Canis lupus familiaris: one gene and its partners. The main gene of each other region encodes a partner of the protein of the gene in region 5 in a complex. Links are inferred from orthologs where the notes say so. Each region holds a gene or a part of one and is shown on either strand. Other genes may lie near its edges.

Evidence for each region.
Region 1: PRPF8 (region 5) and SNRPB share a complex: the UniProt entries of both Homo sapiens proteins name them as parts of the U4/U6-U5 tri-snRNP complex. The link is inferred for Canis lupus familiaris from reciprocal best matches to the Homo sapiens genes PRPF8 and SNRPB.
Region 2: PRPF8 (region 5) and LSM5 share a complex: the UniProt entries of both Homo sapiens proteins name them as parts of the U4/U6-U5 tri-snRNP complex. The link is inferred for Canis lupus familiaris from reciprocal best matches to the Homo sapiens genes PRPF8 and LSM5.
Region 3: PRPF8 (region 5) and CD2BP2 share a complex: the UniProt entries of both Homo sapiens proteins name them as parts of the U5 snRNP complex. The link is inferred for Canis lupus familiaris from reciprocal best matches to the Homo sapiens genes PRPF8 and CD2BP2.
Region 4: the proteins of PRPF8 (region 5) and TSSC4 are in contact, whole or in part, in a cryo-EM structure (PDB 7PX3), measured with the Homo sapiens proteins. The link is inferred for Canis lupus familiaris from reciprocal best matches to the Homo sapiens genes PRPF8 and TSSC4. Residues at the interface, in NP_006436.3 of Homo sapiens: Thr2087, Asn2088, His2089, Ile2090, Tyr2091, Val2092, Ser2093, Ser2094, Asp2095, Lys2108, Leu2111, Lys2112, Glu2184, Thr2219, Pro2220, Thr2224, Leu2225, Leu2262, Leu2263; in NP_001284587.1 of Homo sapiens: Pro153, Asp154, Tyr155, Glu160, Arg161, Trp162, Thr163, Lys164, Tyr165, Ser166, Leu167.
Region 6: PRPF8 (region 5) and SNRPD2 share a complex: the UniProt entries of both Homo sapiens proteins name them as parts of the U4/U6-U5 tri-snRNP complex. The link is inferred for Canis lupus familiaris from reciprocal best matches to the Homo sapiens genes PRPF8 and SNRPD2.
Region 7: PRPF8 (region 5) and PRPF31 share a complex: the UniProt entries of both Homo sapiens proteins name them as parts of the U4/U6-U5 tri-snRNP complex. The link is inferred for Canis lupus familiaris from reciprocal best matches to the Homo sapiens genes PRPF8 and PRPF31.

The regions. Positions count from the first base shown.
Region 1 is NC_049245.1:19,133,267-19,136,868, reverse strand, and holds the end of SNRPB (small nuclear ribonucleoprotein-associated proteins B and B'), read right to left. Parts: intron 2,755-3,602; coding exon 2,602-2,754; intron 2,071-2,601; coding exon 1,932-2,070; intron 1,604-1,931; coding exon 1,478-1,603; intron 797-1,477; coding exon 786-796; 3' UTR 515-785; downstream 1-514. UniProt on the Homo sapiens protein: Plays a role in pre-mRNA splicing as a core component of the spliceosomal U1, U2, U4 and U5 small nuclear ribonucleoproteins (snRNPs), the building blocks of the spliceosome.
Region 2 is NC_049235.1:44,955,597-44,959,847, forward strand, and holds the start of LSM5 (U6 snRNA-associated Sm-like protein LSm5), read right to left. Parts: upstream 2,909-4,251; 5' UTR 2,797-2,908; coding exon 2,751-2,796; intron 1,665-2,750; coding exon 1,569-1,664; intron 1,284-1,568; coding exon 1,256-1,283; intron 580-1,255; coding exon 507-579; intron 103-506; coding exon 70-102; 3' UTR 1-69. UniProt on the Homo sapiens protein: Plays a role in pre-mRNA splicing as component of the U4/U6-U5 tri-snRNP complex that is involved in spliceosome assembly, and as component of the precatalytic spliceosome (spliceosome B complex).
Region 3 is NC_049227.1:17,900,274-17,904,741, forward strand, and holds CD2BP2 (CD2 antigen cytoplasmic tail-binding protein 2), read left to right. Parts: upstream 1-1,549; 5' UTR 1,550-1,617; intron 1,618-1,757; 5' UTR 1,758-1,832; intron 1,833-1,941; 5' UTR 1,942-2,087; exon of another isoform or gene 2,088-2,244; intron 2,245-2,375; exon of another isoform or gene 2,376-2,519; 5' UTR 2,520-2,539; intron 2,540-2,622; 5' UTR 2,623-2,648; coding exon 2,649-2,726; intron 2,727-2,965; coding exon 2,966-3,101; intron 3,102-3,224; coding exon 3,225-3,382; intron 3,383-3,504; coding exon 3,505-3,946; intron 3,947-4,027; coding exon 4,028-4,137; intron 4,138-4,219; coding exon 4,220-4,330; 3' UTR 4,331-4,465; downstream 4,466-4,468. Other genes in the region: sesquipedalian-1-like, read right to left, coding at 452-1,060. UniProt on the Homo sapiens protein: Involved in pre-mRNA splicing as component of the U5 snRNP complex that is involved in spliceosome assembly.
Region 4 is NC_049239.1:46,929,530-46,933,801, reverse strand, and holds TSSC4 (protein TSSC4), read right to left. Parts: upstream 2,900-4,272; 5' UTR 2,612-2,899; intron 1,886-2,611; 5' UTR 1,782-1,885; intron 1,612-1,781; 5' UTR 1,592-1,611; coding exon 629-1,591; 3' UTR 367-628; downstream 1-366. UniProt on the Homo sapiens protein: Protein associated with the U5 snRNP, during its maturation and its post-splicing recycling and which is required for spliceosomal tri-snRNP complex assembly in the nucleus.
Region 5 is NC_049230.1:45,766,800-45,770,473, forward strand, and holds part of PRPF8 (pre-mRNA-processing-splicing factor 8), read right to left. Parts: intron 3,669-3,674; coding exon 3,456-3,668; intron 3,330-3,455; coding exon 3,204-3,329; intron 3,116-3,203; coding exon 3,010-3,115; intron 1,783-3,009; coding exon 1,592-1,782; intron 1,462-1,591; coding exon 1,342-1,461; intron 1,251-1,341; coding exon 1,061-1,250; intron 907-1,060; coding exon 787-906; intron 677-786; coding exon 542-676; intron 13-541; coding exon 1-12. UniProt on the Homo sapiens protein: Plays a role in pre-mRNA splicing as core component of precatalytic, catalytic and postcatalytic spliceosomal complexes, both of the predominant U2-type spliceosome and the minor U12-type spliceosome.
Region 6 is NC_049222.1:110,602,066-110,606,384, reverse strand, and holds the start of SNRPD2 (small nuclear ribonucleoprotein Sm D2), read right to left. Parts: upstream 2,810-4,319; 5' UTR 2,761-2,809; coding exon 2,759-2,760; intron 1,009-2,758; coding exon 829-1,008; intron 1-828. Other genes in the region: QPCTL (glutaminyl-peptide cyclotransferase-like protein), read left to right, coding at 3,508-3,783, 4,283-4,319. UniProt on the Homo sapiens protein: Plays a role in pre-mRNA splicing as a core component of the spliceosomal U1, U2, U4 and U5 small nuclear ribonucleoproteins (snRNPs), the building blocks of the spliceosome.
Region 7 is NC_049222.1:103,832,107-103,835,780, reverse strand, and holds part of PRPF31 (U4/U6 small nuclear ribonucleoprotein Prp31), read left to right. Parts: coding exon 1-73; intron 74-1,026; coding exon 1,027-1,154; intron 1,155-1,234; coding exon 1,235-1,307; intron 1,308-1,770; coding exon 1,771-1,899; intron 1,900-1,994; coding exon 1,995-2,093; intron 2,094-3,436; coding exon 3,437-3,562; 3' UTR 3,563-3,674. UniProt on the Homo sapiens protein: Involved in pre-mRNA splicing as component of the spliceosome. Required for the assembly of the U4/U5/U6 tri-snRNP complex, one of the building blocks of the spliceosome.

The DNA of each region.
Region 1 (3,602 bases), on a different chromosome or scaffold from region 5:
TGTTAAACACAGACTTTAAGTGGAAGAAATCATGGATATCTCCAACTCAAAAGTTGTTAGGTTAAAAGAAAAAGAAAAAAGTTAGGTTAGGTTATATGCATGTGTGTGATGCTAGGAGAAAGTTCTACCAAAATTGTTCCCCTCTCAATAGGATTGTTTACCATTTTTAGTATCAGCCTCCTACTTTATCATGTGAAAATGAATATAATCTCAAGTACTGCACAAAAGGCTATCAAAAGGAGTGTCTAAAGGAGTGTCTTCCAAAGATTTGCTAACTCCACCATCACCAACAGCATGAGTATTTACTTCAACAAACTAATCTTTGCCAGTTTGGTACGTGGGAATGTCTCATCCAATTTTGTTAATTCTCAGTATGAGGCTGTGCATCTCTGTGAATGTGTATTAAAATATTTTATAAGGGAAGCAGCTAAGATTAGTGCTAACTTTTCCAGGGCAACCTTTCTTGACTCTATTAAGGACCTCATTTTCTAAAATTAAACAGACACGCCGAATACAATATTCTTAAGAGTTTATTATAAACTAGTTTCACAGGCTACAAGGAAGTAAAAGGACTATGTACAGCCTGACGGGAAACAGGCAGGGAGCTGAGGAGGGCCAAGATGAGTCTAGGGCCTTGGTGGGCGCATTCCCGGGGGAGGGGGCCCTGAAAGGGAAACCAGACAATCCTGTGAGACTCCAAGAACAACGGCATAACAAACAAACACGTCTGTGGCAATCGGGCCCACGCCTCTGTGGAGCTACTTCCATAACTCTGTGGTCAAGGGTCAAAGGAGGCCTGAAGTAAGAGTAAGAAGTTTAGTCAGTGCCTGATCAGCAACTCAAATCCCCAGCCCCAACCACCACCCCAGCCTCCCACACCCTGCAGGTACCAAGGGATCAGAGGGACATAACATACACACTAACTAGGGACTTCTCGGATATGTATGGATTTCTTATGCTTATAAAACCCACCAACAAAAAGCCTGAACTAGAGACAGGGGTCACCCACTGTGGCTGTGGGTTATCTTAAAGGCCACTATAGCTTGGGGCAAAGAACACCAATCTGGGAGGCAGGATGCTAAGCTCTCAGGGCCCATTATCTTATCTATAAAATGAGAGGGCTAATCTATCTCAACATTTCTCAAACTGGAGTTAAACAGAAACAGAACCAAAGGCCTAAGACAATCCCAGGGCCTTTGCTGGGGACTCTCAGAATGTATTTCACAGTGCCCCCAGAACACTGCCTTCTACACTGAGAAGAGCCCTGGGTACAGGACCACTCTAATTGCTCTAAGAGGGAGGGAACGCTGATTTTAAGAAATGCCTTTTCCCTCTTTCCTTTGTGGACAAAGTTGCACTCTTCACTTCCCTTGGCTTAAGGCCTAGAAGCACAGAGGGTACAGCAAAATCTAACCTTCCCTCCATTTCCCATCCCAACATGCTCTAAAGAAGTCGAGTCACTGCTGTTCGTACTTACCTCGCATGCCCGGGGGAGGGGGCCGCATCCCCGGCGGGGGCATGCCCATTGGAGTTCCTCGACCAGGAGGGATCCCCATTGGGGGGCCCATGGGAGGCCTCATGCCAGGTGGTGGGCCCATCATGCCTACAAGAGAAAAGGCCCAAGAATACAGCTCAAGTATCTGCCTCAAAAAGGTAGCAGGCAACATAACAAAGCTGTCCACTAAGTTCTGAGACAGATGGACCTTCCACCCTCCCAGTCTCTCCTAAGAAACTGGGTCTTGAGCCAAAGAGGTGGGGCTCCCTATGGCTCTTGTCTGGCTAGTTCCATGGTCAGTCACGCTGGATCTCAGAGTAATCCTGCTTAATTACCCAAACTCATCATCAGTTTCAGTCAATGTTATGTCTCATCATGAATCCAGCTCAGGTTATCTCCCATCAGGTAGCTGTGGTCTCCTTAAAGGGCTCCTCACCTGGAGGCGGTGCCCCCCGGCCCATAGGTGGGGGAGGACCCCCACGGCCGGGCGGGTACTGGGTCGGGGCCCCTGCAATGCTGGCAGTGGCAGCAGCGGCAGCAGCAGCCACAGTGCCTCTTCCCTGCGGGGTCATCACCTAAGAGGACACAGAAGCAGAGTCAGGCAGAACAGGGCAGTACAACACAGCATCCCACTCTCCCTTAACTCAGTTAAGACCCAGCAGACATGCCATCCCCTAAGCTACAACCCGAGGTACCAGGCTATCTGAAACCATCTGCCAGAGAAGACCAAGCCTAAATGCTCATTCCCATCTACCAGGCCTGAGTTACGGAGGCCCAGTCCAAATCATAGACAGCACCAGCACTGTTGGTGTAACTACTAACAGGCTGTAAGAGAGCATAGCTCATGTTGTCATGGCAATATTCTGCCCCAAAATGGGCAGCAAAAATACCTTTTATGCATCTCTTTACTTCAATAGCATCAAAATAATGTACAATGTTAAGTTTTCCTTCTCATCTGATTCTAGGACTACATATAAAGCACAATGAAATACTGACATCCTGATGGTCGGAGGTTGGTTCTTCTGGACTCTTCCCAAACTGTGGGCCCTCTCTCTCTATCCTTCATTTTAATCACAAGAAGCTGGTGCCTTCCCCCAACTCCTTACCTGCTGGGATGGCCCACCAACCCCTCGGACTGGCCCTGCAAGTCCTGCAGGAGCCTGGGGCATTGGAACACCAGCTGGAATTCCTCTACCAGCAGCCCTGCCAATCCCTGGGCCCCCGGCAGCTCCAGCAAGTGGCACTCGGGCAATGCCAGTCTAAGAAATAAAGAAATATGGTAAAATGCTGGGGACCTAGAGAATCAGAAGTACACTTTGGAATATCATTGCCAAAGGAGCCCCTAAGATATATGAGGCATCGAAACACCTTAAAAACACTACCCCACCACCCCTATGTGTTAATTCCTCTTCCACCCAAGATTATGTGCCTAGCTGTCACCTCTACCATAGGCTAGAAGAACTTAAGAGGAAGTCTAGAGATAACACACCACAACTCAACCTATAATATTCCTATGAAAATTAAATCAACAAAGGGCCAGGACTCCATTTAAAAGGCAGACAAGAGCACTTGACCTGGCATCAGAGAAATGAGGTCCAATCCTAGCTGATTCTCACCTGGTGGTGAAATTGGGCATGTAATCTCATAGTCTGGGACTACCTCCTCACTGGTCTTCTTTAGTATTAATTAGTACAATGGACTTGGGTTATCATATGACCAGTTGTGGTCACGAAGACTTACAGTGACCTATATAACAGAAGCAATTTCTACTGGAAACCAATCCAAGAGTTATGAATATAGACATACACTTTAACCAAAAAATATGGTAAATCCCTTGCATTTGTAATTGGAAAGGCTTCAATGTATGAGTCTCAATGTATGAGAAAAGAAGGAAATGATTGGGGTAAGTACTCTGTTCCTCACTTGAGAGTATTTTTAACATGACTTTTAAAAACCATACAGTTAACTGGAAAACTGTTTACAGTGTTTAGTGAAAGAGCAAAACAAAGTATTACATATACATATTACACATTAAATTTAAAAAAATACATATGTGGACAAAAGTAAAATTAAGGACAATTATTCCTTTGATGATGTCTTAAAATGA
Region 2 (4,251 bases), on a different chromosome or scaffold from region 5:
ACATTAAAAGGCTTAAAAAAAAATCGATTTTGTTGTCATTATAGGACAAAAGAGAGTAAGGAAATCCATTCATACTTCAGGACCTTCTCCTCCAGGAACTAGCTGCAGAGAAGGAAAAAGAGCTTATTAATACCACCACCACACCCATCATCTAAAAACCCCTTTTCACCCATCAAAGATACCTGGCCTCTTTGCTCCTCCCCCACATTCCCATTTTCTCCAGGTCATTGCTTCTGTTTATAATCCCAACATCGTCAATTAATACTTAGAGTCTAAACAATGATTCTTGGCAAACCAAAAGATTAAAAAGCCCAAGCAAACTAATCTTTAAGCCTATTGTCATGTTCAGTAGCTCAGCTTTAGAGCCCTGATCACAGGAGCATCTCATTCCCAACTTAAACCCACTGGGCCATGAACATTTATTTAACCAAGCCAAGTAATCTGTAATCTCTGCCTCACAAAAATGGGCTACATCTAAAAAAACGCCCAGCTTTACTGTACCTTACCATTGTTATATTATTTCCATTTAGCAAAATTTGATCTAATTTAGTGATCCTTCTTCCTTCTGGTGTGATTTCACTAAATGAAGAAATAAAAGAGTCAAGATAAACAATGATAATCAAAGCCAACATTCTGATCCCTAAAAAAGTTATTCTTATATTATATGAATATGAGGTTGAGCAATTATGTCAGTAGTTTTCAGAGACAAAGGTTATCCACTGGATGACCAAAGGCAACACAGTGAACTGACTGGCCTCAGATCCACATCCACTAGGATCAAAACTAAAAGAAGCTAAAACTGGCCAAAGAGATCAAATATGAAATGGAATGTTTACTAGCCTCACCTTTTTACTATTATTTACTACTAATCCCTTACCCATTAAACCAATCTGTAATCAACTCAATTTTGAAAGCAGACACTGGTTGTGATCTTTAAAACTAATATAATGGAGCTATCATTTATATCTTAAGTTTAATGCCTTGATTTGTCTGAGCACAAACATCCTTGGCTGTTTTTAGTATCTTTTATCTCAAAGCTCAGTCTCCACTAAGTCCCTACCAGTCATTAATAATAACATAATAATTACATCCGGTAATAACTGATCCAATTTTACCAGTGTCAGTAGATAAAATTTCTATCTTTAAGGTATTTCTGACAGGCAATGTTTTCTCATTAATCATTTTAAACTCATTAATACTAAAATTGACTTAAGGAGAGATTCCCCCCAATTCTTTAATTTTTAACACTACTCACAACTCAGTGACATCCTCCAGTACCATATCTGAAATTTGGTGTTAAGAAAAATACATATACCAGGTTGAATTTACTCTGGCTTCTATCTTTACTCCATTTTAATTACAACGTTTAATACAATGGCTCCAGAGCAAAATACTAGTAATCGGTAGGAACTTTATCTTTTTTCAGTACACACACCTCTTAAAACGCTATCAAGAGGTGAATAAATTTCTAATACAATAACCAGTTACGTACTGACTGTCCATATTCTTATTTCTGTTCTTAAGTACTGCAGGAAAACCCATACCACCACCACCTTTTGAAAGGATACTGACAAAGTCATCAAATCCCAAAAGTGTGCCAACAATTTCTTTATCACTCTTCATCACAATGTGAATTCTTGATCCTATACATTTGTCCACGAGCTCTATATATATATATATATATTTTTTTTTTTTAAAGAAAAAAAAAGAGGGGTGGGGGGGTGGAGAAAAAAAGATTATTTTACCTGTTCATTTCTTCAACAAATATTGGAATGCCTACTGGCACTTGTTAGTTACTTACTGTGAAAGATAAACCAGAGAAAGTATTCATTCAAAAACTTTAGAGATTTTACGGTACGTTATCTCTGTTGCATAAACAAAAACGTCCTGTTTACCACTTACCTCTCCTTTGTTGAAGTTTATCCATCACGGTTGTGGTTTAATGTTATTTTAAGTGATTTTGATTAACATACGAAATGCATAATTAATATATAATTAACATCTGAGCCCCCCCCACCCCCTGCAGCCCAGGTGGTTCAGCGGTTTAGCGCCTGCCTGCAGCCCAGGGCGTGATCCTGGGGTCCTAGGATCGAGTCCTGCATCGGGCTCCCTGCATGGAGGCTGCTTCTCCACCTCTCTGGGTGTCTCTCATGAATGAATAAAAATGTTTGTTTGATGTTTTTTTTTAAGAGTCTAAGCCCCATGAAACAACTGTGGTTGTTTTCCCAGGACTCTATCCTCAGTGGGCAATGTCTGGCACATAGCAAGCGTTCAAAAAGAGTTGGTGGAATCAAAGAATGAAAACTTCCAAAACAAGGCCACTTCCGATAACTCCATCAACTCTTTGGCTACAAAATATCGGAAGAGGCACAACCGTATCCACCAGAGATTTCTTCCTGTCACTATCTCTGTGTTCGGACCGCAGTTTGAACGCCTCGTTAGCTGGCTTCGTTATCACTCGGCGTGATGCTTACAGGTGGAGCGCTCTATCTCCTCCTGGTGTGTGTGCTATCCGCAGGCAGTGGGAGGCGTCTGAATTTGTCCAAGAGCGCCCAGCCCTCGTGCCTAGTGCAGAGAGGCTCCCGGGCGGCCCGGGGCCGCAGACACTCGGGAGCCGGCAGACGAGCCGCGGAGCACTGAGGCCCTTCATCCCCACATTTCCCTAACACTCGACCAAGGGCTACTTCAGCCGCAGCCGCCCGGGCCCCAACACTTAGCCTGAGCCCTCCGGTCCCCTTCTCCGCGATTACCTAGAGGCAGCAGCTGCGACGGGTTAGTGGTAGCGTTGGCCGCCATGGCTACGCCGGAAGTGGCCCGCCGGCCTCGCCGTCAGCCCGGCAAGTTTGAAAGAGCGCGCTTCCGCTCCCCCCGCCGGCCCGCGGCCCGGACAGGCTCGACCAATCGGAGGCCGAACTTGCGATCCAATCAGTCCGCAGGAGTCGCTCCTTCCCAATCGCTTCTTTCCCGGGCGCTGAGCTCTCGGGGAGAAGGTTCCGTCCGCTGCAGGTGGTGCGGTCTGGGCACGTAGCGGCTTTCCCCGGGCAGTTTCCGACAGACAGACGCTAAAGGGATCCTGCTTTGTGAATAAATCCTTCCTGCAACCCGGAAGGTTTTGCAAAATACGGAAATCTTTGAATCGTCTTATTTTCTGCTATGAAGTTGCACCTCATCTCAAGCCAGGATCTTTTTTCAGACCGAACCAAAAATTTTTTTTTTTTTTTTTTTTTTTGCCACTAATGCACTGTGTTGCAGTTTTTGTAAAAGCCGTTTTTCAAAGCATCTACTCCTAGAGCGCCCATGTGCCTCAGTGGGTTAAGCCTCAGACTAGATCTCAGCTCAGGTCTTGATCTCAGGATCCGCTGGTTGGGCTCCACGTTGGGTGCGGAGCCTATTTAAAGAAGAGAGAAAAAAGAATCTAGTGCTTCTTTTTAAAGTCCAGTGAATTGAAAACCCACAACCAGCATTTAAAAAGAAAAAAAACCTTCTACAGTGGAAATTTAAAACACATTTTATTTTTATGCCTACTACCTTATCATTCTTACCTTGTTGTAGCTAGGAGTCCAATTTATCACAGACTGTATCCACTTTCAACACTTAACTGTCTTGTCTTATAAGCAGCCACCAGATGTCACTGTCCGCTAATGTCATCACACAGGAAACCTTAAGGCTTTTTGTTTTTTTTTTGTTTTGTTTTGTTTTTTTAAATTTTTATTTATTTATGACAGTCACAGAGAGAGAGAGAGAAGCAGAGACACAGGCAGAGGGAGAAGCAGGCTCCATGCACCGGGAGCCCGACGTGGGATTCGATCCCGGGTATCCAGGATCACGCCCTGGGCCAAAGGCAGGCGCCAAACCGCTGCGCCACCCAGGGATCCCAGGCTTTTTGCACTTCTGTTTTGCAAAGAATAGAAAGCAAACAAATTCTCTGCCTTAAGTCTGTTTCATATTTGTATCCCAGGAACGTAAGGCTGACGAGTCTAAACAGGAGAGAGCAGAAAAAAACATCATTCATTCATACAACAGATAGTTGTAATACACACATCATTCATTCATGGAACAAATATGCATTAGCTACACACTATTTGGCATTTTGCTGAGTATAAAACTGTACAAAACAGAACTACAATGTCTTCTGCCCTTCTAGAAGCTTAAGGATGAATGGAAGAGAAAGCCTACTAACAAATATAATATACAAGGTATATGAAATTTAAAATATAAAAGACCTCTTAGTTTCAGGGATCCTAGAGAACT
Region 3 (4,468 bases), on a different chromosome or scaffold from region 5:
CTCATTTATTTAAGGGGACATGCCTTGGAACAGGAAATGCCCCCCCCCCCCAACCATCCTCCTTGCTCTCTTTCTTCTTCACCACCTTCCTGTGTATTCTCAGGCCTCTCCTGCTTTGTCTCACCAGGGTCCCCACCTTTTACATTGTTTCCCTCCAGCCCCTATCTGGGGAAGGGGTCTTCCCTTGAGCTCCAGGGGGTGGAACCCAATGTTTACATTCTCTTCTATCTCTGCTCCTATCCTATGCAGCGCTTTGAGGAATCAGAAAAGAACCTGCTGTTGTACCTGGGCCCGTCTCCTGCTTTGTTATTTGATAGAGGGGGTTAGAATAAGGACTGGGCAGGGGGTGGGAAACAGTGGAGCAGGCCAGGATCCAGGCATCTACCGAAGCTGTGGGCTGGTCTTGGCACGTGGGTACCTCTTGGCCTTTGGTCCACCTTTCAGTCACTCATCAGCTGCTGAGCTCCTGTTCCTCTTTTGCCTGGGATCTGCTGCCCCCATTGTTAGCCTGGGGCCCTCTACGCACCACCTGCAGCACCCGGATCTCCTTTCCAAAGTGCTCATGCAATTCCTGGAAGCTGGAGGGGATACCGAGGGTGGCAAGAAAGCCACAGTCCTCTGGGGGTGAGCTGGGCTCTTGGCCAGCTGCCTGGCACAGCTCCCGGTACTGGGCCTCCAGGGGGGGTAGTAGCGCCACCAGCCGCCTCCAGCTCGCCCCAGCTAGTGCCCACAGCCAGGCTCCCAGCTCTTCCTGGTTTTCTGCTGCCAATTTGTAGGCACGCCCAGCTGTTCCCTCAACCCTAGGGGTCAGTATGGTAAAGGCATAGGGTTCTGTGGCCCCAAGGCGTGGCTCCACCCGACAGTTTTCCAAGAGAATGAGGCCCAGGGGTGTGTGGTCCGCCTGGTTCTCCAGGTAGAAGAGGAGGTTTCCCCGGAGGATGAACCAGCGGCGTTGATAGCTGATATTTCGGGCTCCTTTCTTCAGCAAGATGCCCTCGCGGTCTGGAGCTTTTCTGTATCCACGGAAGAAATTGAGTACGGATTTCTGGTGCAGTTTCATGGTAGTCCAATCTGGGAGTAGACCTTGGGGGCAGGAGAGAGAGCTGGTCCTAGCCTAGTGGGATTTAAGAGTGTCCTCAAGAGTACAGGTCTTGCTCCCCCCCCCCCCCCCCAGCACTGGGGCCGACACCTCCCACCTACAGTTCTCCCCTTTGGGCTAGTTTACAGACCCTGGGCAGGGGCCGCTGGCCTGGACCCCTATTTGCTTGCGCCTGTAGTTGGAGAGACGCACTGTTGCCCTTTTCCAGGCCTACCTGAAATCAGGGCACAAGAAACTTCGGCCTGGGTACTGGACACAGGTACCACCGTCACCTTTCCGAGACGGCTCTTCCCACCTCTCAAACCAGGAACTCCCCAGGGGATAGGTGTCGGGTAAATGACTTCCCCCGGGTCCTAAAGAGACCTGTGTTCGGCAAGTGCCCCGGAACCACCCCGGGCCTCCAGGCTGGCCATCAGAACCGGGTCTTGCCTCGGGGAAAAGAGCAGGGCCGCACCTCGGGGTAGGAGTGGACTGGACTGGACGCTGAGTGGAAAGGAAGGGTTTCCAAGAAGATTCTGGTGAGGGGCGCAAAGCCCTTGGGCAACCCTGGGGAAAGTGATTCAACTATGGAAAGGGAAACGGGCCATTGTCCCACTTTGCTCCTCCATCATGGTCCTGGGCGCCCCTTTAAGTAGAGTGCGCTCTGCTTTCTCCCCAGAGCCTCTGACTGCTGTCGGAGGGAATCGAAACCGCATCCGGCCATCTCTCTCGTCTGATCGGGGCCTAGGCGTTCGTACGTCCCCTGTTCTCGCCATTGTCGCCCCACACTGATCACGTCACTCTGGGTTGGGCGGGGAGGTGTTTCCCGCTCACTGTGTACTTCCGCCCGCTTCTCCACTTAGTCCCCTACCCCGAGTGAAGCCACTTCCGGCCTTCTCCAGCGCCTTCCGCAGTTCCCTTCCGGGTGATGGCGGCCGCTGCCCCGGACGTAGCCGTGGGGAAAGCAGCTCTCTTTTTCCTTCCCCGCCGGCCTCCCGTCGATCTTTAGGTGAGCGCGCGCCGGTGGGGTCCTGGAATCCTCGCGGTTCTGCCGCCCCTCTGATTTGTACACTTAGCCCGGGACAGTTGGGGGTCACCCCTCGGAGCCGGGAGTTCGGCGCGGGGAAGAGGGGGTCGGCCAGGACGCCAGGTCCTGGGTCCGCCCGGGCCCCGCGGGCTCTGAGGGAGCTGGGGGTGTAGGAGCCGGTGTCAGCCCTCAGAGCCTCGTCGCACCCAGGACTGCGGGGGCCAGGAATGGGGGGGCATGTGTGGGGGGTCTGTCTCCTTTCGTCAAGGGTGGGGGTTGCCCGTGGGAAGCCCCTCCGCGCGTCCGCCTCTCCGGCCCCGCACCAGCAACTCTTTTGGACCAAACCAAGTCCCCGGGGCCTCCTGGCGGCCGACTTCCCTTTCGGCCCCTGACTCTGCACCCTCTCTTCCCAAGCTGGATCTAGTGCGTACCAGGTGATTATTTGTTGTGCTGGCGGCCCTTCGGCGGTGAGTAGCCTCGCCCAGTTCCCTTAATCTGCACCCTTTCCCTCGCTCAGCTTGGCGAAGGCCCCTCTGTGCAGGCATGCCAAAGAGGAAAGTGACCTTCCAAGGCGTAGGAGATGAGGATGATGAGGATGAAATCAGTGTCCCCAAGAAGAAGGTGAGGTGGCCAGACTCCTGTATTCTGGGGAGGAGTGAGGGCAGGGAGAAGGAACTGGAGGCTAGAAGAGAAAGAAAGCTGGTGGGGATAAAGCGGTGAAAGGTCTCGCTTTTTCCATGTTCTCTGGGAAATGGGTTTGGAGAATTTTCAGTCTGAGAAAGCTTTGAAGAAAAACCTTCCTAGAGTACTTTGAGGAATAGCCGCAAACCTGCATCTCTCAACTTGCTGGCTCCTCACAGCTGGTGGATCCTGTGGCTGGGGCAGGGGGTCCTGGGAGCCGCTTCAAAGGCAAACACTCTTTGGACAGTGATGAGGAGGATGATGATGATGAGGGGTCCAGCAAATACGACATCCTGGCCTCAGAGGATGTGGAAGGTGAGCTAAACCCAAGAATTGTTGCTGCTGGAGGAACAGATGGGGTTTCACGGGATATGGGGTGGAGAAGGCTCTTGTCTGTTTTTGCTTGCTCAGCCTGGGCCACCTGTGTCTTTGGTGCAGGTCAGGAAGCAGCCACACTCCCCAGTGAGGGAGGTGTGCGGATCACACCTTTCAACCTGCAGGAAGAGATGGAGGAAGGCCACTTTGATGCTGATGGCAATTACTTTCTGAACCGGGATGCTCAGATCCGAGATAGCTGGCTGGACAACATTGACTGGGTGTGGCCCAGGGGTTGACTTTGGCTGGGGACCTGGAGGCAGCAAGTGCTGGGCTTGTGCCCTGCTCACGGTTTGTAAGAGATAACCGACCCCCCCCCCCCCACCCCGTTTTCATATCACAGGTGAAGATCAAGGAGCGGCCACCTGATCAGCGCCCACCTTCAGACTCAGAGGAAGAAGACAGCCTGGGCCAGACACCAATGAGTGCCCAAGCCCTCCTGGAGGGCCTTCTGGAGCTGCTGTTACCCAGAGAGACAGTGGCCGGGGCACTGAGGCGTCTGGGGGCCCGAGGAGGAGGAGGTGGCAAAGGGGGCAGCAAGGGGGCTGGGCGGCCTAGTTCCCCTCAGCGCTTGGATCGGCTCTCTGGGTTGGCTGACCAGATGGTGGCCCGGGGCAACCTCGGTGTATATCAGGAGACAAGGGAACGGTTAGCCATGCGGCTGAAGGGGTTGGGGTCCCGGACTCAGGGACCCCCTGACCCCACACCCCCACCCTCTCTGGACATGTTTGCTGAGGAAGTGGCAGAGGGGGAGCTGGAGACCCCAACCCCCACACAGAGGGGAGGTAAGATCAGAAGGCAGAGGAGGGGTGTTGGGGCAGGAGGTAGGGCACTTGAGGGCCAGATGGCTTTGCCTGTTGTTTTAGAAGCAGAATTGAAAGGAGATGATGGTCTGGTGGACGTGATGTGGGAATATAAGTGGGAGAACACAGGGGATGCTGAGCTGTATGGGCCCTTCACCAGCACCCAGATGCAGGTAAGCCCTTTCCTGCTTCTACCACTACCCCCCTTCCCTTCTCCCATGAGTCTTTCCCCAGCTCTGCTTTCCTTTCCTGCAGACCTGGGTGAACGAAGGCTACTTCGCAGATGGTGTTTATTGCCGGAAGCTGGACCCTCCCGGTGGACAGTTCTACAACTCCAAACGCATTGACTTTGACCTCTACACCTGAGTCTGCTGAGGGCCCAGTTTGGTGGTCCCTTCTTTCCTTGACTCTGGAGGAGGCCCCAGCTGTCTCAGGCATTGAGGATTTTGGGGGCCACCTTTCAGTCCATTTTCCTTTCCCAATAAAAGCCTTTAGTTGTATGTT
Region 4 (4,272 bases), on a different chromosome or scaffold from region 5:
GCTGTTCTGGCGATGTGACCAGGACACTGGTCATCATCACACATGGCCCGGATGAGGAAGTCCCTGACCCCACTCACATTCCGGCCTCCTGGAGACCCATCTCATCACCCTGTTGGGAGCAGAAGCTGGACACCTGGGACTGTGAGGTTGCCCCCTCGAGGGCCTGGGGCCTTCTCCACCTCTTGCTCTGGATCAGGAGAGCTGGAAAGAGGGCCTGCTGGTGAACCCAGGCAAGCATTTAAAAAGCCTCCATGCCCACTGGAGATTAAGTTGAAGAGGCTCAAATGAGAGAACCGGGTGTTGGGTGTACAGCATGGCAGACAATGGCCCGAGGCGCAGGATCTACACAAACACACACACACAAAGTCTAAGCAACACCCAAAACCTTTACTGTGGCCCCACAGGCATGTGGTGGGCCAGGGTCTTTGCTGTCCACTGGCAAGCTGTCTGCTTCAGAGACCACTATCCCGAGCCCTAGCCCAGGCTGCTGGCGCCTCACACTGGCAGACCGCTGGCTCCCTTTCCAGGGCGGGGGGCCCCAAGCTCCACTCCACTCCAAGTGGCCAGTGACCCCGGCTGCCCTCCTCCACCGCATGGTCAGGAAACGCCAGCCAGGCAGTCTCTTCTCTCAAATCTCTGCACCTGGGGCCTCAGGTGTGTTGTTCTTGTTCCGGAAATGGTCCCTGCTCCGCTTCCTGCTACCATGGAAGCCAACAGTCTCCACCACTGGGGGCCCCACCGCTGACCTAGCATGGGCAGCCCCCTGTGGCACGTCCACTTCCTGTAGCCCCCCGTGGGGGCTGTTCTCTTCCTCAGCCTCTGGGCTCCCAGGCCCTGCCAGGTGGGCCAGCTCCACAGGGCCCTCGCCCCCTGCTGCTCCCAGGTCCCCAGGGGCACCCCTGCCTGACTCTCCTGCCTTCCTCAGGGCCCTCTTCCTCTCAGGCCTGGCCTCGCCAGCTCGGGCCGGTTTGGTGAAGATGACTCTTCCCTCCCCACAGCTGGAGGGATCCTGGTTGAAGGACGGCATGTAGTCTCTGGGGCCAGCCAGGCTCTGGGAGCTCAGGAAGGCCAGGGCGGCAGCCTGATTGCTCTGCTCACTGACCTCGGCTACGTTTTCCAGGCTGTACTTGGTCCAGCGCTCAGGGTGGGCCATGTAGTCAGGGATGGGGGGCAACTTCGTGGGGGCAGGGCTCTGACTGGCCCTGCCCGGGCCCTCTCCTGGACGCTGGTGTGAGGATGCTGGTGGCTGCATGAAATCCCCATGGTCACCCGGGTCTTGCCTGGCTGCGTCCTCCAGGCAGTCAAAGATGTTGCGGCTGCGCCAGGAGAAGGTGGAGCTCGTGCCTCTCAGGTGGAAGGGCTGTACTGAGGCTGTGGGGAGGCCTTTTGGAGGCAAAGGGGTCTCATCGGGGTCTGAGTCCCCCTGGGCCTCCCCAGATAGCACCCCCGGGGGCAGAGCTTCCATCTCAGTACCGCCAGGCAAGCTGAAATCGGAGTCCGAGTCACTGAGAGAGACGGTGTCGGAAGGCAGAGCGTCATCCTCTGTTCCTCGCTCGGCTTCCAGGGGCTCTCCTACCCCTACCTCAGACATGTGTCCCAGGGCCACCACACCTAGACCAGAACAGCCCAAAGAGTTCGTTTCTGAGGATTGCACCCATTTAGGACGGGCCCCTCCTATAAACCCACAGTCCCTGGGCAGGCGGCAGGGCCAGAAGGAAGAGCTATGTCCTACCAAACAAAGGACAGAGATTCCCACACCCGCCCCCCCCTCAACGTCTCACCTCCGTTGTCTGATGAACGTCTGTGCAGACACCAGAATTCTGGTGGGTGAAGTCCCGGCAAAGGCGCCCGGTGGCCTCAGTCCCGGCTCCGCTTAGCTGCTCAACTGTAGCGGGCAGAAGGTGGGAAGGGCAAATCGTCAGGGAGCACCAGGGCAAAGCGGTACCGCGACCCCCAGGGGGCGGTCCTGGGTTTCCGGGGCCCAGGCCCAGGCCGGCCTGGACGCAGACCCTTCGGGAAGATCTTCATTCAGCCCTCTTGAGCTAAGTCTAGGGGCCCGCTGGGGGTTAGGCAGGCAGCAGCCAGGGCCCAGCCCGGGGGCAGCAGCAGGCTCTGCGCTCCACGACGGCGCTCGACCAGGCGGCCCGTCCACGAGCTGCTCGGCACAGCTGCGCCACCTGCCTGGGCAAGGCAAGGGCTGCCCCTGCCTGCCCAGACGCCCCGGGACTCCACGCGGGTCTGCAGCCGGGGCCTCCGCGTCTGACCGTCAGGCCCGCGGGGAAGTGGGGGGTCAGCGGCCGCCCGGGGCATCCTTGCGGGCAGGGCAAGCCCGCGGCTCCGGCAGCAGCCTCTCCTGGCACGTCCCCGCGAGGGAAGGAGCTCCGGAGGGCGGGGCGCCGCCGCGACCTGGGGGGGCGGCCGGGCCGGCGGGCGCCCCGGGGTCGGGCACAGCGCCCCGCGACAGCGAGCGGCCGCGGCGGCTCCCGGGCTTCTCCGCGGAGGCCGGCGGCTCGGCCGGGGCAGGGCTGGGGCGCGCTCGGCCGCCCGTGGAAGCCGGCGCCGGCTGTCTCCGCCCCGGCGGGGGCCTGGCCGCACGCGGGCCGCGGCTCACCAGGCTCGGGGAGCCACCAAAGACGCGAAACACCTCGGGGATGTGGGGCGAGGAGGCTGCGAAAAGGCGACCTCTCTCCCGCGCCACAAGCCTACCGGCTCAAAGCCGCCGGGCCGCCTCCATCTTTCGCCGCGCTCGGCCTCCTGGGAAACCGAGTCTTCCGCCGGCCCGGCGCCTCGGCGTCCGCACCTGAAGAACTACACCTCCCACAAGGCACCGGGACGCTACTCCCGAGGCCTGTCGGGTCCCGTAGCCCCTGCGCATGCGTCCTCGCTTTTCTCCCTAGCCTCCCCCCTCCCCGGAAACGTCGGCTCTCCTTCGCGCAAAGAGCCGGAATTGAGGAGGGAAAGGAGGAGGAGGAAGAGGCAGCACTGCGACTCCCAGAATGCTCCAGGACTAACGGCCAGCGCCGCGTTCCCGGGGCCCCAGCGCCGCCTGCTGGAAGTCGCGAGCACAGCGGCCGCCTCAGGCCGGAAGTGCATCGTCGCACGCGGCATCGTCGCCGGGTGCTTCCGGTCAGGCCGGAAGTGCGGGCCGCCCGCTCGTGGGTCGGGGGAGGGGGAGGGGGAGGGGGTGGGGGGGGGCCGGGTTCCGTCTGAGCGCTCGGCTCGCGGTCCCGACGGCCCGGCCGGTGCTGCCCACCTGACGGCCGGTCTGGCCGCGTCTCTCGGGGCCGCGGTCCTGGAGTGCTCGGGAAGCCCGCGGACCCCTCGTTTCCGGGGCCGCCCAGCATGGCCTGCGGCAGCACCGGGCAGCTAGGTCGGGATGCCCCAGCCCCCCAGCCCCGCCTGCAGCTGCAGTGTGCCGCTGTGCGAGGATGCCCCAGGGACCCCGCCCTCCTGGGGGCCCCCCAGCCCCGCCAGCAGCTGCAGTGTGCAGCTGTGCGAGGGCGCCCCAGGGACCCGCCCTCCTGGGGGCGCCCCAGCCTCACCTGCAGCTGCAGTGTGCCGCTGTGCCAGGGCGCCCCAGGGACCCGCCCTCCTGGGGGCCCCCCAGCCCCGCCTGCAGCTGCAGTGTGCCACTGTGTGAGGATGCCCCAGGGACCTGCCCTCCTGGGGGCCCCCCAGCCCCGCCTGCAGCTGCAGTGTGCTGCTGTGCGAGGGCGCCCCAGGGACCCGCCCTCCTGGGGGCCCCCCAGCCCCACCTGCAGCTGCAGTGTGCTGCTGTGTGAGGATGCCCCAGGGACCTGCCCTCCTGGGGGCCCCCCAGCCCCCCAGCCCCGCCTGCAGCTGCAGTGTGCCGCTGTGCGAGGGCGCCCCAGGGAACCGCCCTCCTGGGGGCGCCCCCAGTCTCGGTCTCCCCAGCACAGACTGGCTGTGCTGTGCCTGCAGGCCAGGATCCCCAGGGTCGTGCAGGGGCAAGTAAGCAGGGCTGCTCCTTGGGCCACTCTGTTCTCTCAGGGACCCACCCTGGCACACAAGGTGGAGGGGTGTGGCAGGAGGGGCAGACCTCACTGAGACCTGATGACCCCAAAAGTAGGGCTGGGGCCAGTTTCCAAAACAAGCGCCAAGGGAGGCAGCTGTCAGCCCTCCACATGAATCCCAGCCAGGCCCTCATGGCCTCAAGGGGCCAGTTCAGCATACACCAGGTCAGTGCCTGCACTCAGCTCATGGTGACATCACCCAGCACTCCCGAGGGGGTGGGGGTGGGAGGAGGCAGCT
Region 5 (3,674 bases):
TCCTACAGGGCCCTGTGGTCCCAAGCAGTAATAAAGAACTTAGGTTAGCAATTGATTTAGAGAGCAAGAAAAAACTGCACACACAGATGGGGTCAAGAGGAACACATCTCAGGCAACAGAGGGGCAAAGAGGCAAAACTCTGGGACCTCAACATCAAAAATGGAATAAATGAGAAATTCTAACACAGAAACCAGTAACTGGGATTCTCTATTTAAAGGCAGGCTTCAATGGAAAGTGTTACAATTAATAAGGTGAGGGCAAGTAATGAAACGCTCAGAACCTTTCTCTAAATTGGTCCCCGGAAGGAACGCTGACTAGACATAAAAATTAAAATGGATCTGAGACTCGGGGTCATGAGATTGAGCCCCATATCAGGCCTCACACTCAGTGTGGACCTAGTTAAGATTCTTTTTCTCTCCCTCTGCCTTCCAAACACAATGAATGAATGAATGAATGAATGAATGAATGAATGAATGAATGAAAGAATGAACAAATGAACAAACTGGATGAAGAAAGTGAGAGTATGAGGGCAGGGTCCAACCGTATTGAAGCGGTAATAGATGAGATGCTTCAGGTCCTTGCACATGCGAATCTGCCGCATCAGCTTGTATTTGTACCGGTACATGCCCGTCAGTTGCCCCACATGGGCAAAGATATACTGCAACCCATCTGCCAGCTGCAACACAATGACTCCATCAGGCTTTAAGCTAGAGCCAGCTCCATGATCAGCTTAGGCTTCATTCAGCTTCCCTACCTAGGGCAGGGATCAGGGATACTTGGCCTCACCTGGAAGGCATCCACATTGCCCAAGCGATACTGCACATGACTGTCCACCACCAACTTGGTTAAACGCAGAACTTCTCGACACAGATGGAAAGCATTTCCAAAACGAGATTTCTTTCTTTCCTGGAGAAGGTGCCAAGAATAGAAAAAACAAACAAACAAACAAACAAACATTGATCAGTAATGGTCCCAACTGGATGTATGCCTTCCTCAGAGGACAGAGCAAAACCAGTCCATCCCTCAAGCCCAGAAGACCCTTAAAGTACAATGCAGACACCTTGGTAGTGAGGGTCTTGACAGGCTTAAGATTGAAGTTATAATCCAGATGCAGATAGTTGAGGTTTTTTCGGTGAATAAGAAGGTTGAGCATGTTGTAGCCCTGGCGGCAAACCTGAAGCCCCACCTCTACCCAGTCCAGCTTTGTGGACTGAAAGAATTTGGTAGCTTTGAAGGAACGAAACAGGTACCTGGGGTGGGAATAAGTGGAAAAGTAAGAATTAGCTTCTTGGTTAAATTTGGAACAAAAGAAGTCTGAGCAATGACCCTCAGGCACCTTACCTCTTCTTTTGGGCTTTAGGGGGCCGGTGCTTCAGGGCATTCAGCACATAGTACTTAAGAAGTTTCTGGTAGGAGACCCTCACTTTCACAGGTTGCCCAGCAGGACAATGCTCCCGATACCTGAGAAAATTAGCCAACCAGAGCTAGCCCATTTCTCCTTCTAATCCCTCTGGTAAAGACTGAATGTCAACCCAGTTGGAATTCTTTTCTCCTATACATCTACTATCATCTCCCCAGGTATTAGTCTTACCAGTTCTTGACAAGGGGGATGTCCAGGGCCCGGCGGGTACGACCAGAGCGTAGGTTGAAGGGCCTTGGGGCCCAGAGCAGGGCAATGCCATTGGCTGTATTGTCTGTGTAAAGGGGTGTGTCCTTCAGGAAGGGCTCCACAAACTCTGGGAGTTCAAACTCCTCGTCATCATCAGGTAATGGTTCCTGGCTCTGAAAGAACAACCCCCAAGGGTTCAGCTCCCACTGAACTGAACAGAGAACTGGGATGAGAGGGAAATTATCTGGGGCTGAGCACAGTGGTGCCATCTACCATGGAAACTGGGCTGCCAGACAAGAGAAGCCCTAAAGGGCCAGGGCAAAAAGGGCCAAGGGAGTAGAGAACAAGCTAGGGCCAAGCAGAAAGCAAGCATCACACCCTAACGGGCTCACCACCAAAGGCCTCCCAAAGGAGCCCCAATATGTTAAGTAAACACAAAAACTAAGCTAGAGTAGGGAGGTCTGTTAAGAACACTATAGAACATGGGTAAACATCAAAAACATTATTTCAAACCAATCAGAGGGATGTGTCTGCTTTTGGCTCTGGGCGTGATCCCAGAGTGCTGGGATCGAGTCCTATATCAGGTTCCCGTGGGGAGCCTGCCTAGATCTCTGCCCATGTCTCTGCCTTTCTGTCTCTCATGAATAAATAAATAAACTCTTAAAAAAAAAAAAAAGGCCAAAAAAAAAAAAAATAAATAAATAAAAAAAAAAAAAAGGCCAATCACAAAAGACCACATACTGAAAGATCCCATTTATATGAAACCTCCAGAAGAGGCAAATCTACAGAAAGACTAGGAGTTGACTAGGGGAGGGAAACAGCGACTGCTAATGGTATGGGAATTTCTGGGATGATGAAAAGGTTGGAAAATTGTCTGTGGATATAGCTAAACTACTCTGTGAATAAACTAAATACCACTGAATTATAAACTTTAAATGGGTGAGTTGTACGGTATGTGAACTAATAAATATATCTAATAAAAGGATTGGAAAAAATTCATAATGCAAACAGCCCTGAAATTACTATATGGAAAGTCCCAATCACAAAAACCCAGATTATACAAATAACTTAGTTTAAACCAAGCACTTTACTGACATATCAAAGCTCAAAGGGAACACTAAATAGGTAGTTCAATTTTTATTTAGTAACACTTCAGCTACAGTCAGCAAATTTCTCTTCAAAGAACTAAGATCTTGGTAGCCCGGGTGACTCAGTGGTTTAGCGCCGTCTTCAGCCCAGGGCCTGAACCTGGAGACCTGGGATGGAGTCCCATATCAGGCTCCCTGCATGAAGCCTGCTTCTCCCTCTGCCTGTGTTTCTGCCTCTCTCTCTCTCTCTCTCTCTCTCTCTCATGAATAAATAAAATCTTAAAAAAAAAGAAAAAAGAACTAAGGTCTTACCTTGACAGAGTGCCTGTGAGAAATTGGGTTGATCAAAGGATCAAAGTAGAAAGCTGGGAGATCAGGATCCTCAGTTTTGATGAACACAACATTAGGAGTGTGGTACCTAAAATAAAGGAAGAGTAATAAACTCAGGTTCTCCTGCCCTGGCCCAATATCCTCTCCCCCCTCTCCCCCTTTGCTCTAGCTCTCACCAGGTAAGGTGGACATGGTGTGGAAGGTTGTTGTACAGATAGGGAAAAGCAATCTTGTATTCAGTGCGGATAGGCTGCCGGATGATGATCTTGTTAATATCGTTGAATTCATTCCAGTCTTCATCCCTAGGGTACATTATCAAGGATGAGCAGACTAGTTGGGGAGTTTGGAAACTACAATGGCATCTCAAGGATCAAGATTAGATTTTACTCAATCCGAGGTGCCTATAATCCCTAGTATCTCCAACTTACTGGAGGTTGATGTCTCGAACAAGAGGTTCAAATTTGGGGCCTCCAGGAATGGCCATATTGAGTGCCTTGGACGTGAAGAAGGCTTTCAGATCAAAGAGATAGAAGTAGTTATCATCTACCAAGTCTGTCAGGAGCTGATTGGCCAAGCGGTATAGAGTGGACATCATGGGCAGTGTGAACTGCCAGCGCTGGTAAGTGGAACCATTCACGTACCTAGGG
Region 6 (4,319 bases), on a different chromosome or scaffold from region 5:
CTACTGAGCCAAGTACCCTTCCTACAGAAATATTTAATCCTCACAACTGTTCTATGAGGGGTATTTTTATGACGCACAGTTTGCAGACAAGGACACTGAGGCCGAGAGAGGAAATAACACTTGCTGTTCCCTCTGGCTGAAACACTCAGACCCTGGCTTCCTCCTTCATTGTATTTAGGTCTGTTCATCACGGTCTCTTCCTATGGAACCCCTAGCGTTACCGTCTAGGACAACACCTCCTTCCCAGCACTCCACACTCTCACCTGCCTTTACTATTCTTATGACACATTGTTTGTGTGCTTGCTGTTGGTTTCCCTACCTATGGCATAAGCTCTCTTAAGTATAGGAGTCCTCTTTCAGTCATTGCTGTGTCTCTGGAGCCTAAAAAAAGTACTGGGCATGGTACTTTATTTTTTTCTTTTGGGGCATGGTACTTTATATCGTAACTGCAAAACCTGATTAATAAGAGCTTCCTGGTGCCAGATGCTGTACTTCTAATGACTGTATTACACATCACATGTATTAAGTCACTGAATCTCTGCAATCACCAGAATTACTGCCATTGAATGGAAGAGATAAAGTTACTTGTTGAAGGTTTCATGGCTGCTAAGAGGCAGAGTCGAGACACAAACCCAGGAAGCCTGGCTCCCAAGTACATGCCCATCACTACTGTACTGCACAGCTGGAAGGACAACAAGACACCATTGCACTTTGAGGTCTGAATATGCTTATGCCCCAGGACTCTGAAAACCTTGTATTTGGGTTCCTCACACTGGAACTGTGTCTGCATTTCCAAGACAGAACACCTTCCAGGACCCAGGTGCTTACCTGTCGAAAGCCTTCACACGGCCCAGGAGCTTCTTGTTGTTGCGGCAGTTGATAAGCACCTGGGTGTTGTTCTTGACTGACTGTGTGAGCACAGAGAGCGGACCCGTGTTAAACTCTTCCTCCTCCCGCTTCTGTAGCTCCTCTGGGGTCATCTCACTCTTGGGTTTGTTGAGGAGGCTCCTGAGGGGCAAGCATGGAACCCGTAGGTGAGAGGCCCAGAGCTAGAGCGTGGGTGGTCACATGATGTCTCCCCAACCCACCCACCCCCCTGCTCAGTCCCTCTTGCATGGCATCACCAGCTGGATGCTGAATAGACATTTCCAACCGTATACATCCTCAGTTGAGCTCCAGATCTCCCAATCACTCAAACCTACTCTTTCCACAGCCTTCCTCATCTCCATCATTCTAGTTCCTTGAGCAGAAACCCTGATATCAACTTGACTCTTCTCTCTCACATCCTACATTCAATGTCAGCAAATTCTGTCATCTGCCTCTAAAATATACCCAGAATCTGTTTCTTACCATGGCCTAAACCTCTATCATCTCTCTCCTGAGAGCCTTACTTGTCTCCCTACCTCAGCCCATGCCGCTGACCGTCTGTTCTCCACAGCAGTCCCAGAGGTTGTATCAAAATCTAAGTCATATCATTTCACTCTTCGAAACCCTCCCATGGCTCCCATCTCTGTGTAAAAAGTAAAACCCAAAGTTTTTACAATGCCTGGCATCTTCCCATCCTTCTCTGTTCCAGCCAGTGGCCTTGAAGGTGGTCCTTTAAGATATTAGGCAAGGGGCGCCTGGGTAGCTCAATGGCTGAGCATCTGCTTTCGGCTCAGATCCTGACCCAGGGGGAATCCCTGGGTGGCTCAGCGGTTTAGCGTCTGCCTTTGGCCCAGGGCACGATCCTGGAGTCCCGGGATCAAGTCCCACATCGGGCTCCCTGCATGGAGCCTGCTTCTCCCTCTGCCTGAGTCTCTGCCTCTCTCTCCCCCTATGTCTATCATGAATAAATAAATAAAATCTTAAAAAAAAAAAAAAAAAAAGATCCTGACCCAGGGATGCTGGGATCGAGTCCCACATCGGGCTCCCTGTGGGGATACTGCTTCTCTGTGTCTCTCACAAGTAAATAAAATCTTTAAAAAATATATAAGATATTAGACAGACTTTCACCTTGGGCATCTCCCTTCGTTTTCCCTCTGCCTGGATACCTCCCCAGGTATCTTTGTGGTTCTCAGGTTCTTCAGGTCTCTGCTCAACTGCTGCCTTCTCAATGTGTCCTGCACTGGTTATTGAGTTACTTTCTCTCAAAACTAGTACTCCCCATTGTTTGGATCCTGCTCTTTTGCTTCTTTACTCACTTAGCTCTGATCACCTAACACACGCCATACACTTTACATTTTTATCACCGGTGTGTTCATTGTCTGCCTTTTCCCACACCCATAAGCTGCAGCAGGGCATTTTTCTTGCGGGATGGGGGTCGCAGTCACTGATGTATCTCACGTAGTTAAAGCAGTGCCTAATACATGAGTGCTCAATAAATAATTGCTGAATGAATACCAAATCAGGAAAATCATTAAGGCGATTCGTGAGCCGAAAAAGTCGCGAATGAGGTGAACTTCTCCAGCTCAAATTGTCCGGGTAAGTCCCGTACCTCAAACCGTTATTTCTAAAACTCCGCACTCCCGTTTCCCAGGTTCTTTGCTTCCCCTTAAAATCCATTTCAGCGAGACTCATTATCGGGGAAATCCCGGCTCATTAACTGATCAAGTGCCTTCCCTCGAACTCAGGACCCGTAAAAGGCCCCATGCCCATCCTCAAACTCGTCAGAACGGTGCGTACTTTACCCCTAAAACCTCTGCCTCCGATCCCGCCTCGCCCACCACCGGCAAACGGCCACATCTACGCCCTCGACCCCACTCCCGCCGGGCCTCACATGGTGGTAGCGGCTGCGCTCGCAGATCAGCTCCGTCTTCCCCGCGTTGCTCCTGCCTCTGAAGAGAGGGCTACAGGCGGGACTTCCGTTTCCTGTGGCCGACTTCCGTCGGCGCCTGCGCAATCCCAACCTGCACGGTGTGGGCGAGGCCTGTTGCCGTGGCAATCCGCGCCGGCCCCGCGCAGACGTGGGGTAGAAGCACTGCGTAGTAGCTCAGGGTCTTTCAGGACCATATGGAGAGAAGACAATGGAGAGAAGAATAAAGCGGGTCCGACTCAAATCGTTTCGTTGTAGAGCGGCACAAGCTGAAGAAGGGACAGGACACGGCATTCCAAAAGCCCGCCGGCTCCGCCCTCGGGGGCGCGGCCTCCGTGTAGCCAATCGGCTCCTCGCTTCTGGGACGGGCACCGCCCCTTTTCCATCGGTGTCGGTTCGTTTACGTGTCTATTGATCTTTCCGACTTCGAGTAACCAATCCTTTGCCTTCCTACGGGAGGGGCGGAGACCTGCTCCTTGGTCCAACGTTTTTCAGGATCAAACATTGCTCATTGGCTTCCGTTCCTCCGTTGAGGCGGAGCCTCTCCCTTTCGCACTACCCTTTTGGGTTGTGCAACCCTCAGGGGAACCAACCCCAAAGCCCCAGGGAGACAGGAAGGCGTGTTCTCAGAGTGAGGGTCGCCATTGGTTTCACTGACCGAGGGTGGGTGGGATGGTGCAGCCGCTCTTCGTGTTTATTGGTTCGGTGATTCCATGGGGTGGGATTTGGCTGGGCCTAAACTATCCGCGGTCCGGGACCGGTTTCGGGGCGAAGCTGCCATGCCTTCCGGGGGCCGCGGGCGGTCCCGGCTACGGCTCGGGGAACGTGGCCTCTTGGAGCCGCCCTCCCCGCCCAAGCGCCGCCTGCTCCCGCGGGCGCACTTCTTGCCTCTGCTTCTGCTGGCCCTGGCCCTGGCTTCGGCGACCTACACCATCTGGAGCGGCTGGCACCACCAGACTGAGGAGCTGCCGCGGGGCCGGGAGCTGCGGGTGAGGCCCGGCAGGGGCACGGGCACCGCGGGAGCCCTCATTCCCCGCCTCCCCTTCCCTGAGGTCTCAGGTTGACGTGGCTGTGTCGTCTGGCCCAAGCTGCAGGTGCTGCGGTCTCCGTCGATAGAGCGCATGCCCGTTGCTAACGAACTGAGGCTTTGGGCTTGTTCTGTAATAGGTGGTTCTACCTAAGAGGGAGAGTCTGCAGTAGTAACACTGGGAATTCTGGGTTCCAATCTGAAAGTCAGCTATTTGGAAGAGTCCCTTCCTCTCTCTCGGCCTCGATTTCCCCATCAGGATTGAGGTGGGCTGGACCTGGTGGGTTTAGAGGGACTTTCCTTAGCCTAGGATTTCTTCTGGAAACCTCCGATGCTGGAGGTTCGAATTAGGAAGAAGAACCGGGGCTTCTTAGGTGCGATGGCGTCCGGGTTAGGGTTGGAATGGGGGTTGCCCTCACGTTCGGTTCTTCTCTTCCCTCTCCTTGCTCCCTCCTCCTAAGGGCCGCTTGATCGGAAGCCTCTCCGAAGCCCGGCTGC
Region 7 (3,674 bases), on a different chromosome or scaffold from region 5:
GGCTCGGCTGGTGGCTGCCAAGTGCACACTGGCAGCCCGTGTGGACAGCTTCCACGAGAGCACAGAAGGGAAGGTGAGGCACAGCAGGCATCTGTGTGGGTCTGTCTCCTCTACCAGACTTGTCATTGTTCAGGTCATCACTGAGTTTACCTCTATCTCTCTTGGCAGACTTGCTCCATGAAAGTGGGTATATCTTGTCTTGTGCAGTCTGGCACAGTGTCCAGGCTTCAGTCTCTTTCTCTCACTGCCCCCCACTTTTCCTCTTGACCACTGGTTGAGGTTCCAGTGGGGACAGCAGTGAGCACTCCGACCAAAGCCATGCCCCTGTGGCATTCATGTTCTGGCTGGGGGCGGGGTGAGGACACGGGCCATCTGTGGTGTGTCCAGGGATGCCACATAAATGCTAGGGTGGGATCAAAGGGTGCTGGGCTGGTGAGGGAGGTTGAGTTTAACCCGGACGTTGGGGAGGGCTTTGCTGCAAAGGTGAAGGTCTAATCTGCACCCAAGTGAAGTTGGTGCAAGTGAAGCAAGTTGGTGAAGTGAAGCAAGTCAAGTGAGTGCCTGGGGGAAGAGTCCTAGGAAGGAGAAGCAGCCAGTGCAATGGCCCTGAGCCTGGCCCACAGGAAGCCAGGGAGAGGAGGCTGTGGGATGGGACAGGTCACGCAGAGCCTGTGTGCCCCAGAGAGACCTTGGCTGTAGCAGAGATGCTGAGGGGTGCGATTTGGGGTCTTAACTGAAGGAAAAGCCCAGAGGGAGAGAAGCCAGAGGTGAGGCTCCCAAGTGACCTCCCTTTACCAACTTGTGCAGGCCGGAGCTGGAGGCTGGGGAAGAGGTGCAGGTGTGCGGTTTGGCCCTGTTGCACTCGGGGGCTGCCCTCCTTCTCCCCCATCAAGGACAGAATTATATGAGGGGTGCTGGGAGAAGTCTGAGTCTCCCAAGAAACACAGGCCCCCCAGGCCTGGGAACAGGTGCCACACACAGGTAGAGGGATGGGCAAGGCTCAATGGGACCCCCTGCCCTCCCCAGGTGGGATATGAGCTGAAGGATGAAATCGAGCGCAAGTTTGACAAATGGCAGGAGCCGCCGCCCGTGAAGCAGGTGAAGCCCCTGCCTGCACCCCTGGACGGGCAGCGCAAGAAGCGAGGTGGCCGCAGGTAGGCCCTGAGGGCCAGTGGGGGTGAAGAGGAGGGGAAGGGGCTTGTGACCCCAGCTGACCCCTGGCGCCCCTCCCCAGGTACCGCAAGATGAAGGAGCGGCTAGGGCTGACCGAGATCCGGAAGCAGGCCAACCGCATGAGCTTCGGAGAGGTCAAAGCCTTAGTCTGGATGTCCCCACCACATTTCTTCTCGGCTGAGGCAGCACCTCACCTCCAGCCTCCCCCCACATCCATGTACCCTGAAGGGACCTATGCAGCATTCAGTGTTGGCCCTGTCCCCCGACCCCCACCCTTTTGTACACACCTCCCTGTCGGGTTGGATCTGCCCAGGGAGGGTCCTTCCTCAGGCTTCACCTCTGCCAGACTCATTACCCAAGCATCATCCTCATGGTCCTGCAAGAACCAGCTCAAACACCCTCTAGTCAGCAAGCCCAGTTTTGGTTGTTGACACTGCATACATGAACACTCACAGCTTCCCTCAACTGTCAGCTCAGGGAGCCGTAATAGGACTGGACTCCTCACTGGGCCCCAGCAGGCACCTGAATCGGGTCAGTGCCTGGGGCATCCGGCTGATGAAAGATGGCTAACTCTTGGTTACCTTCCCCTCCCACCAGATCGAGGAAGACGCCTACCAAGAGGACCTGGGCTTCAGCCTGGGCCATCTGGGCAAATCAGGCAGCGGGCGGGTACGGCAGACACAGGTGAACGAGGCCACCAAAGCCAGGATCTCTAAGACACTGCAGGTACAGGCGGGGCCTGAGTGGGCCTGGGAGTCTGGGAGCTCCAGCAGGAGAGCCCAAGCCAAGCCCAAACATCCTGTCCCCTCCCCTCCACACAGCGGACCCTGCAGAAGCAGAGTGTCGTGTATGGCGGGAAGTCCACCATCCGTGACCGCTCCTCGGGGACTGCTTCCAGTGTGGCTTTCACCCCTTTGCAGGTACTGTGCACCTGAGTCAGGAGGCCCAGTTCTGGGCAGGCTCTACTCCCAGCTTTCTGAGTGGACCTGGGCAAGCCCCTTCCTCTCGCAGGGCTGTTGTGGACAGCCTTGTGTATCAGTGAAGCCCCTGAAAGGTACAGCTCAGTTCCTGGTGCTCAGGCTAGTGGGAGCAGAAGGGAAAAGGTCTGCCTGCAAGTGCAGGCTGGCTTTAGGATCGGGCTGGGACTAGGGGTGACTACTGATTCCCCATGACCTCAAGTGGGCTCAGCTCCTCCCTGAGGTGCTAAGTGGCTGGGACAACCTCAGGGCTCCACGGAAGAAAACTCAAAGGTAGCTGGCTGGGAAGCAGAGGTCCCAGCCCAGCCACTCATGCACAGGACAGAGCCTCTGCATCTGTCCATTTCTCAGCCTACCCACAGATAGCGCCAGCACGCCCCATAGCATCGAGTAGAATAACTGAGTTCATTGGCAACATCAGCAAGGGTGTACTGAGCACCTAAGTTTCAGGTGCTGTTGCAGGCACTGGGGATAGAGCCACAAGCACAAGACAGCAAGCCTTGCCCTCAGGGAGCTTGTGGGGTGGCAGGGGTCAGATAAGATATGGAGCCTGGTGGAAAGTGGAAAGTGCAGGGAAGAAAGGGGAGAGGGAGTGAGGCATCGGGTTGGACCCGCCCAGGGAGGCCTCAGCAAGAAGGTCAGAATTACCTGTGGAAGATACTGGGAATGGTGCCAGCCAGTGTGGAGCCCCCACAGCTGGACGCCGTGTCACCAGTAGGCTTGGTGTAATTTGCACGAGGGCCAGAGGTGAGCCACTTAGCTCTGTGACTCAGTTTCCTTATTCAGGAACCAAACCCGGTCAGCTGTTCTGAAACATTGATTTTTTTTTTTTAAGATTTTTATTTATTTATTTATTCATGAGAGACATACAGAGAGAGAGAGACAGAGACACAGGCAGAGGGAGAAGCAGGCTCCATGCAGGAGGCCTGATGTGGGACCCCATCCCGGGTCTCCAGGATCATCAGGCCCTGGGCTGAAGGCGGCGCTAAACTGCTGAGCCACCTGGGCTGCCCAACATTGATGCTTTTAAAATTGCTTAGAGAACTTGATAAAAATTCAGATGCCCAGGTCCTCCCCACTCTTCCCTCTTCCCAGAGCCACAGTTAGAATCTCCCCAGGTTTGGGGTGGGGGCAATTTGGTAATTGGAAAACTGTTCTATCACCTGGAGCCCGGAACCATTGAAAAGGGCCTCCCCGACATGTCACAATTCTCTTACTGGGTAAGGGGGCCTTGTCAGGGGCCAGCCCATCTCCCCACCCCATCATTACCTCATTCACCTGCCCAGGGCCTAGAGATTGTGAACCCACAAGCAGCTGAGAAGAAGGTGGCTGAAGCCAACCAGAAGTATTTCTCCAGCATGGCCGAGTTCCTCAAGGTCAAGGGCGAGAAAAGCGGCATCATGTCCACCTGAGGGGCTGTACCCTGGGTGGCTGCCCCTGAAGCTACACAGGCCCTGCCCTTCTGAAGGGATCAGGATCAGGATAGGGCTGGGAGGTTCTGTCCTCAGCCCAGTGCCAGGACTG